Linked DNA regions of Schizosaccharomyces pombe. The gene in region 2 interacts genetically with the main gene of each other region. Each region holds a gene or a part of one and is shown on either strand. Other genes may lie near its edges.

Region 1 (5,752 bases), on a different chromosome or scaffold from region 2:
CCCTTATTTAGTAAAAAGCTTACATTGGGTGGGTTTTGAGCCTCTCCCACATCTCAATTGTAGCGATCATGCTCTTTTCGGCATGGAGCTGTGAACGAGACTATATCTGTTTATCCTTAAGCTTTGATTCATCCTTTATTTGCATCTCAAAGTAAGAACACTGGCAAATTTTCTCGGTTGTTTTGATAAATTTGTTATTGAGCTGAATTGATAAAAATATATGCCCCTCATCACATGTCATGGTTAAACTGTGAACATATTATTTCTTCCTCCCCCATTATTATTTTTCATGGAACTTCATTAAATATTTTCTTCGGTTACACTTTGTCTTAGGTGTGCTTGGAAAGAGTCAGCGAGAATTTATTCAATCCAGGTTCATTTATTACTTCCTTGTGAATACCAAATTTATTCAATTCACGAGGCTTTTCATGATTTAGTTGTAGATTTTATTTAGATTGGGTTTACGATCATATTTTTGCTTTTATTACCCCTTTTTTTAAGTTATGCCTGTTTTTTGGTTATATAGTTTGAATGCTTTTCTCTCTTTAATATGTTAATAATACGAAGGAAACATCAAAAAAATATATTATTTTAAAACAAAAATTAAAAATAAATAGATAGATTAAATGTGCACTTTAAATAGTTGGAAATACGAAATTTCAGCAAAGGGAGGCGTAGATCATAAATAATCGTTAACGACTATTTATTACTATTTTTGCTTTTAATATAAGCAATCCTTGCGTCTCTTATGATTCCGGCTTTCTTGTCCATACAAGTACTGAATATTTTAAGGCTGAAAGTAGCGAATACAGGACGATGATCGGAACATCTAATGTCACAAGATTTATAGCAATTCCTAGTAAACTAAAGTTTCGGTTAGAGGTACACTACATTGAAATATATCTACAACTTACACTTTTTGTGGCCAAGATTCGATCTGTCCATGAAGGCACTCTCTGTTTATCTCTATAGCCATGTTAACAGTGTGGATTTGGTTTATGGTAAACGTACGAAGTGTCATAATCATTGGTTCCATTATCAAATTTGTAAGTAGGAAGAAATGTTAACTGTGGTTCAACTAAACCATGAAACACGGTGCCTTTCTTCATTTCTGTGCATAACTGATCATATGAAGCCAACTTGTCTAAGTCGTCCAGTTCAACAAGTTTTCGAACTTCTTCGTTATCAGAATCTATACGATAATTAAAATCACCCATCCATAAAATGTTCCTATGTTTGTCAGTAATGATTTTTTAAATACTTATCGTCACATACGTATGATCATAAATTTTCATTCCAGATGGAAAAACAAGGTTATCAGATATACTTGTATACTCCATGTTGCGCTCCGAAATATTATTAACCTTAGGAGCGAAATGTGAAGAAACAAAACAAAAATCCGAGTCGCAAACATTCATTTCAATTGCAACGGCACCCTTATTGGCAGAAAACCCGCCAAAGCCTGTCTTTCGAGTTGTTTTGGTAACTTTTGAAACAACAAGATGATCATCCTTCCGTATAAATACACCAAGGAAAACACCTGCCATTTGAATAGAGCTAATTAACATATACTTATTATTAGAATCTCGAGAATTGAGAATCATAAGTATTTTCTCTTCCCAAATCCTAAGTTTCTGATTGCTTGAACTAACAAGATGACTCATGTTCAAGGTAATTATCTCTTGAACCGCTACAACGTAAAGATCATAAGCGGAAGTTCTTTCGCCAAATGGAAGTAACAGCCTTTTAAATTCATCAGTGCTGGGTACTTTACCATTTGCATTAAATGTCGACGAAAATATGCTAAAATCCCTTTCGACTCTATATTCAGAACGACGTTGTCTTAGCACACCTTGGATGTAAGAAGACACGGATTCAGATATGAGTACGGGACTTTGATTCGGAAAACATCCCAACAGCAATAAAATGGCATTTTGAGATTCTACGTCTGGATATCTTCCAACATACATGCGGCCAAAAGATTTGGATATATCACTTAAAGATCCCGCAATAGATTTACGACCTCTACGGGTAGCGCTTGAACCAATGGAGCCAACCCCTGTAATTAGTTTCGCAATAGCATCACCGTTATTAGACCAGAGATGTCTTAGGTATTCAAGAATATTGAAAGTTACTCCTATTTGAAGGTTAAAAAATATATCCTTTAATACTAATCGAGATATTTGATACTGAATAACGTTTGTGCGTCCCAGACAATCCAAATCATTAATCCGAAACACTCCTTTTTGGAAAGATTCCAACATGTCATTTTCAATAGACTTTTGAGTATAGCCCATCTCTTTTAAATCGTCGGCCAAATCGGTCTCTAATCGTGGATCAATGTCAGGACGAGCAGGATCAGGTGTAAAGTGGAATTTCTTGACAACGGCAGGAAAAGGTAGAAGCATAAGGTGATGCTTGTAAGCTTCATATAGCGAAGCTTCAAAGCCTTTTGTTTGTAAAAGATCGATTACATATATATCACCATAAGCTTTGTATAGCTTACTAAAGTGAAAATTAAATAGACTTTGACTTGCCTGCGAAGATCTCAAAAAAGAAATAGAGGGTCCATACCAAGAAGAGAATTGTTCCTCCCAGAAACATGGGACTGTCCCTCGAACTTGTACGAAGCTAAAGACCGTTTGTGCGATCTCGACAATAAATTCTGTCTCCACAAACATAGAACAATAAGACGAATCATCAATACCAGAGGGAGGGTATGTTTGCCGAGAGCCATAACTAGATACCTTGGAGATTATACTCATAGACATACTATCAATGAACATTCTCTCAACATAACCCCGAAAGCAATGGAGCAACAGGTTCGGGAATTTCTCCAAAATATGGGCTTCAGAGAAGTGGTTATCCAATTCCGTTATGAGAAATCTATTCCAACAATAAATATCTTTGGGACCATAAGGCTGCTCGGATTGAAACCTTGAAAAGCAAGAAATATTTGTAGAGACATAAAATGAACCATCGGTGAGCAAATCGGTCAATTGAGAAAGGGAATGATATGGATATATCCTAGTAGTTGAAGAGTATTTACTAGAATATTCGCTATTAACCAAATTATCTTTTTCAATATTATTCAAGTCAGAAGTGCTTGTCGAAAAAGTAGAGCTTGGTGAACTATTACGAGGCATGGGTTCGAACAACTCTTCATCCCATAATTCCTGATCTAAAGAGATGAAGGAGACATTTTCAAGTTTCGAAATTGGGTCTCTATTACCAATTCGAAGCACTAGTTTTGCTTTCCGGGCAACGCATAGGAAAACGCCTTCTTTCATATCCTCACATACATAATTAAACAACCCAAGGGTTCCCAATATCTTCTCTCCTCCAAAAAGTAATTCATATTCCTTTATCTTTTCGAATTCTTCAAGTGAGATACAAGTGAATGTTATTATGCAATCAGAATCCTTAACAGACGGTTTTTGAATAATTGCCGCATATTTCTCTGTAATAAATGCAACAGATCTTTCTTTTCGTTTGAGATAGCACTGCATGGCAGGAAATAAATATATGCTTATTTCCTGCTTTGCGTGGATGGTAGACACTAAATACGTAGATATACTGACGCAGTAAGGAGATACACATAGCTAGCAAGTATTGTAGATTTCCAGTGAAAAAGTTAAATTTAAGCGTTGAAACAAAAGGAATGTCCTGAAAATATTTATTTAATCGTATTGGTTGAAAACCTGATAAACTTCAGCTTGTTATCATCAATTATATTATACAAATTGCCAAACTACCGAATATATATGCGTAAGAAATACGCTTTTTAGCGTTTTAATTTGGCCTGTATATATGAAAACAGTAAAAAAAGTTGTGTAAAAGCTAAGTTCGACCATTTCATTACAATCTAATTCCTATGTACATTAAGTTATACATTTTGATCTCTAGCTGTATAACGCACGTGTAATAACTGAGAATTTGGAAATGCATTGTTCAATACGATAGCATATGCGGAAGGATGTTCATGATGAATAAAGGAGGACTCCATTCGTAAACCATTTTGGTTCAATAAGGCGACATCCCATGCTGTATCAGAACCAAAAAGCGTTTGATTTGTAACGAGTGAACTTAGAAGTGGAACATCACAAGAGCTATCATTGTAAAGCAATTGCCATTCTACTGAGGCATTCCTTGGTAAGGCATCAACCAACGCAACCAAAACAGGACTTGACTCCCCAGTATTTTTTGTATATTCTGACCAAATTTTAACAACACAATCCGCATCACGAGAATCACAAACATATGCCAAGCATGCTATGAGTGAACCTACTCGCATTGCTTTTGCAACACGATTTGCGTGTTGAAGAGCCAGTACCATCTCAAATATTTTGTCATGAAGTTTTAACTCCATAACTGATGGTATTAAACCAATTTGTCCAGAAATGAAAACAACACCATTTGCACAGATCGACTGCGAATATGGACCAATGTTGGCTGGCGCCCAATAACTTTGCCCTTGAACATGAAGCGCTCTTTTCTCGGTTACATCTCCAACAATACAGGACATGACTATCCTATACTCACTAGCTAGAGGAGCTGCGACGCAAGACCGGGAAGGTGGGTTCGTGAAATCAAAATATTTATTGTAAACAGAGTTAAATTCTGCAAACTTAGACATGGAAGATAAAATGACGGTTACAAAGTAAACATTTTTGTTAGAATATCCATATGTACCAAGCAGTTCTAGGAAGTTAGTATTCTAGCGGTTTAAAGGAAATGTTCGGTGGCATAGCCGAATCAAGAATATGATTAACGAAGACAATCAATATGTAACTTACCATTTAAGTTGTTTATAGCAGATTCAGCTTCACCTTGAAACGTGTTATAAGATCCTTTGGTAGCAACCACATTACCCAATACTAAAAATGAGCCCTTTTTTTGCTGAAAGGCGCTTTCACGAAGAGGAATTGGGATAAGAGAAGTAGGCGTCTCCTCTTGATCGTCAATAAGTTCGTATTTTTTAGATATAGTATGATAAATATGTGAATATTCTTCCCCAAGTAATTCTTCATTTGGAACTAATTCACTTTTCAGCGAGATAGGTTGCCATTCAGGCTTATCTTTAACACAGGCCTTAACTTTCAAATAACAGACTTCCCCAGAAGAATGCTCAACAACCTCTTTATCAGTCAAAACAATTCGCTTCTTGAACAATGGGCAATCTAAAACCAATGTTTCGTATTCACCTCCTTCACCGCAAGGATGCAGTTCGAATTTTTTATTTAGGGTAAGAAGTTTATCTTGCATTTCAGCTAGAGATTTCCCCAAATCCTTCCTCGTAAGGCCAATTGCAGCTACTTTGATCAAGATGGCATTCAAACCAGAAACAACCATATCGTTGAGTAATTTTTCCTGATCTTTTTGCCAAAGAAAAGACAAGCTTTTCAAACCTAACCGTTTGCAAACATTTTCTACTCGAGTCCGTTGATATGTGGAAAGTATAGCGCCGGTAGAAACGGCTTCGAGATCTGGATGATTTGTCAATACACGCTTTATGAGTCTATATAAGTCTTCTGTTTCATCCTTTTCTGTAAATTGATAATCCAAGTTTTGATTGATACTTTGTCCACCGATTTTCTCTCGATATAACGGTAGATCGAAGCATTCAGCATACAATGGAATTACATCGTGTCCAACACTTTGGTACATGAAAGAGTCAATCTCATCTTTACCATCTTCAGGATGAAGATTTGCTAGGGCTACTACTTCATGGCCTAAAGAGACGCAATGCATC
Region 2 (3,724 bases):
CACCATAAGTGCGAAGCTTTAGGGTTTTTACATTATAAGACAAGTTAGATTTTTGTTTTAAAGGTGGCATTTAGAATATAGACAGATGAAGTTAAAGGGCGCAGCTCGTTTTCCTTGGCACTTTTTTACACTCATCTCAGTACTTGTATTATCTTCTCAAAGCAGCTTGGTAGTACAATTTTCTTGGATATTATCCCTATCTGATAAAATAAAGTTTCGCTAATAATTAAGCGAAGACTTACAACTTTGACGAAGCAGCACACAGAACTAAACCAGTAGATCATAGTGACTATAAAAGCAAATCTACTTAAAGAGGCTGAGAAATTGCCATCGTGAGTTTATTTATTTTCAGCTATATTCTTCAATGTAAATTTAAGTATTTATTGAGAAAAATTTAAGAAAGTTAAGTTGTTCGTTATAACGTACAGCAGCTACGAAAGGATATTTATACTACTGTCTCGCAAATAAACATTCTAGCAACTCATTAACATCATAACTTGTGTTGGAATAGTAGACAACTATGATGAATAAAATAAAATAAAAAGGGCAAGTTAGAAATCAGAAATTTATGCTTAATGTTTCATTTGGATTTTCGTTATTTCCAATGTATTCTGAATATACTCATACTTAAACACATATTGTTATATGTTATATTTGTTACATCAGGGGGATCGATATATCATATACTCCACAGTATAGCTAATTTATTTGTAACCCTTTTTGAAGAAATATTTATTTGGTATTGAGAATTAAATTAAATTTAAAGATTTACTATATCATAGCCTATTTACTCAATCTGTTCAAATGTTGCTTTCGCAAACATATTTTTATCAGTCACAATATAATGAAATACACATTTGATTTAAAACAATTTCAAAAAAAAAAAAAGGATGTTGATTAGAATGAAAGAAAAAAAATAAGATTTATATATTTTCAAAACAAAAAAGGTGTAGATATCAATAATAAGAAGACTTAAAATTCTAATAGATCTCGTAACGATCAGTTATTTTAAATTTATAAAATTAAACCACAGTGTATTGTTTTAGAATATATGAATTTAATACTTTCGCTCAACGATTTCTTGATCGATCAACTAAATATGTAATAATATTAATTAAAAAAAAATAAAAAAAATTTGAGATTTTTTCTTTCCTCTTGCTATGAATCACGAAATTTTCTGTATGAACAGAATAGCAATCAACTGGCTTCTCAGACACTTCATAAAACTCGAAATTGTGTCTTCAGGGTTATCGGAATAAATATTATGATTCATAAGCTCTATTGTTAGCTTAAAATTGAATTTGTTATTAATCTAACATATTTGTAAATGGGTTTATGAAGTATTTGAATTTGAGATCTTATTATTACGAATTTAAAATCCAAAGATAATTAAGAAATTAATCAATGGCTTATAAAGTATAGAAAATTAAAGACTAAATTATCAAAGCATTTTTATTTTTAATTTTTTTTAGCGCTCTCATTTAAGACAAACTTTTACTAATACTCCAATTATGAATGATGGTTATTTTGCATACTTATTAAATGATGTACATATTTTTATAAATTAATAAGTCTAATAGAAGATAATTAATTACCTCTTTCCATCTCTTGGTCTTCCTTATTGAGCTAGCACATTACCTCATTCTCTTCAACTACGATTTACTAACTACTCAGGTTGAAAGGGTTTTTTGAACATTGTTCGTAAAAGGAAATTTTAAAAATATTTTGAGACAGCATTTTTGTGTTTCTCAATTATTAAGATTAATAATAAGCATCACGAAACTTTGAGGTGTTAGCTTACATTAACAATTCTGGGGTTCTAATCCTTATAATAATTTGGGCTGGCCTATATCAAATTGTCTAATTTGAAGATTTAAATTCTTTAAATAATTTTATTTTTACTTTCTCCCTCGTTTTAAGTATGAAAATTGTTGTTTTAGGTGGTTCAGGCTTTTTAGGGCATAATATTTGCAAATTAGCCATTGCTAAGGGTTACGAGGTGGTTTCAGTATCCCGAAGAGGAGCTGGAGGATTGCATAACAAAGAACCATGGATGGATGATGTTGAATGGGAGACGTTGGATGCTCAAAAAGATCCAAATTCATTACTTCCTGTTCTTCGTGATGCCTCGGCAGTGGTGAACAGTGTTGGTATCCTTATGGAAAATAACTATAAAAAGATTTTACAGAATCCCAGAGGACCAGTTTCGCATTTAATCAATAGTCTTAGCTCTAACATGTTTAAAACTGGCCAAAACCCTTTAGCACCTAAACCTGAAGAAGCAAAGCAATCTAAAAATAAAGTTACATTTGAAGCAATCAATCGAGATTTAGCTATTGAAACAGCTAAGATTGCCGCCAAAGCTAATGTCCCTGTGTATTGCTATGTGTCTGCTCATGCAGCGGCTCCCGGGTTGGATCCCCGCTACATAAAAACGAAACGTGAAGCTGAAAGGGAAATATCTAAAATTTCAAACCTTCGTTCTATATTTCTCCGTCCTGGTTTTATGTATAACTTTAATGATCGTCCTTTCACAGGCGCCCTTGCGTCTCTTTTTACTGTCTCATCCAGCATCAATCGAGCAACCTCTGGTGCTTTAAATTTCCTCGGAACCGCTTCGGCTGAACCCCTTCCTTCTGAGGAAGTTGCTTTGGCTGCTTTGGAGGCTATTTCTGATCCCAGTGTCAAGGGTCCTGTGGAAATTTCCGAATTAAAATCTATGGCTCATAAGTTTAAGCAAAAATCTCTATGATTCTCTTGTTAAAAGTAAATTACACATCATAAGTTTATGAAAATGAATGATTGGGTTATGTGTAATGAATTTTGACCAGTCTTAATTATATCTACCTGAATACGTCTTTATACTTTCAAGTTAAAATATGATTGCTAAACAAAGAGAAAAAGTATCGTCTAATTTAAATTCTCTGCTCAATATTTACATCATTTGAACTACTGTTATCTAAGTCGTAGAATCTTTTCCAACTATAATTGCCAAATTTGCTTCCTGACTGTATTTATTAACTAGAAAATTAAAACAAGTTATTTCAAAAAATTAGAAAGAAAGCTCTTTTCCCATGTTAACTCGAGCTATATTTGCTTCGATATATCAGCTGTTGTAGTAACCATACATTTTACCTTATTATACACCTCGCACTACCTATATCAAACGCACGCATTCGAAAGGTCCTCGGTGAATTAAAGAATTAAGAAGATAGAGAAGTTCATAATCCTTTTAATTTACTTATTCAAATTGGACTTACAGTCGTAAATTATTTATGGAGCTGGGTGCTTGGAGATCTATTCTCTATATTGCGTTCCTGTTCGCGATTACGCGCCATGCCTTTTGTAAAGCAGTTAACTTGGTGCATTCACCAGAAGGAGAAGAGTTCGAAAATATTTTGAGCTCTGTTTCTGCTACAGTTGAGAAGAAAGAAGTCAACAATAAATTAATAATGCCGACAGCTAATCGCGACAACCAAGGAGTAAGAGAAGAACTTTTAGTTTCTAGTTTTAAAGAAAGAAAGCTGTTGAACACCAATTCAGCCAATTTGCGGCTAAATAGTATTGGCTCATACGAAATGATCGACTTCAAACAGATTAATTCCGAATTTTTCTTGTCTCATCGTCAACATGGGTTTGTATTATTTATCGATTCTAAAAAAAAACCACGACAATCATTTTACACCGACTCGGCTACTTCTATTGTGCAATTGTCCAAAAAATA

What was found.
Region 1: mutations in coq11 (region 2) and syj2 together harm fitness more than expected from each alone (negative genetic interaction), as found in Schizosaccharomyces pombe (one large-scale study listed by BioGRID).

The regions. Positions count from the first base shown.
Region 1 is NC_003423.3:773,530-779,281, reverse strand, and holds syj2 (inositol-1,4,5-trisphosphate 5-phosphatase 2), read right to left. Parts: upstream 3,562-5,752; 5' UTR 3,510-3,561; coding exon 1,276-3,509; intron 1,231-1,275; coding exon 1,012-1,230; intron 967-1,011; coding exon 915-966; intron 865-914; coding exon 700-864; 3' UTR 561-699; downstream 1-560. Other genes in the region: dph6 (endoribonuclease), read right to left, coding at 3,887-4,701, 4,797-5,752.
Region 2 is NC_003421.2:2,273,396-2,277,119, reverse strand, and holds coq11 (ubiquinone biosynthesis protein Coq11), read left to right. Parts: upstream 1-1,650; 5' UTR 1,651-1,921; coding exon 1,922-2,752; 3' UTR 2,753-2,953; downstream 2,954-3,724. Other genes in the region: pdi5 (protein disulfide isomerase), read left to right, coding at 3,276-3,724. UniProt on the Schizosaccharomyces pombe protein: Acts in the coenzyme Q biosynthetic pathway.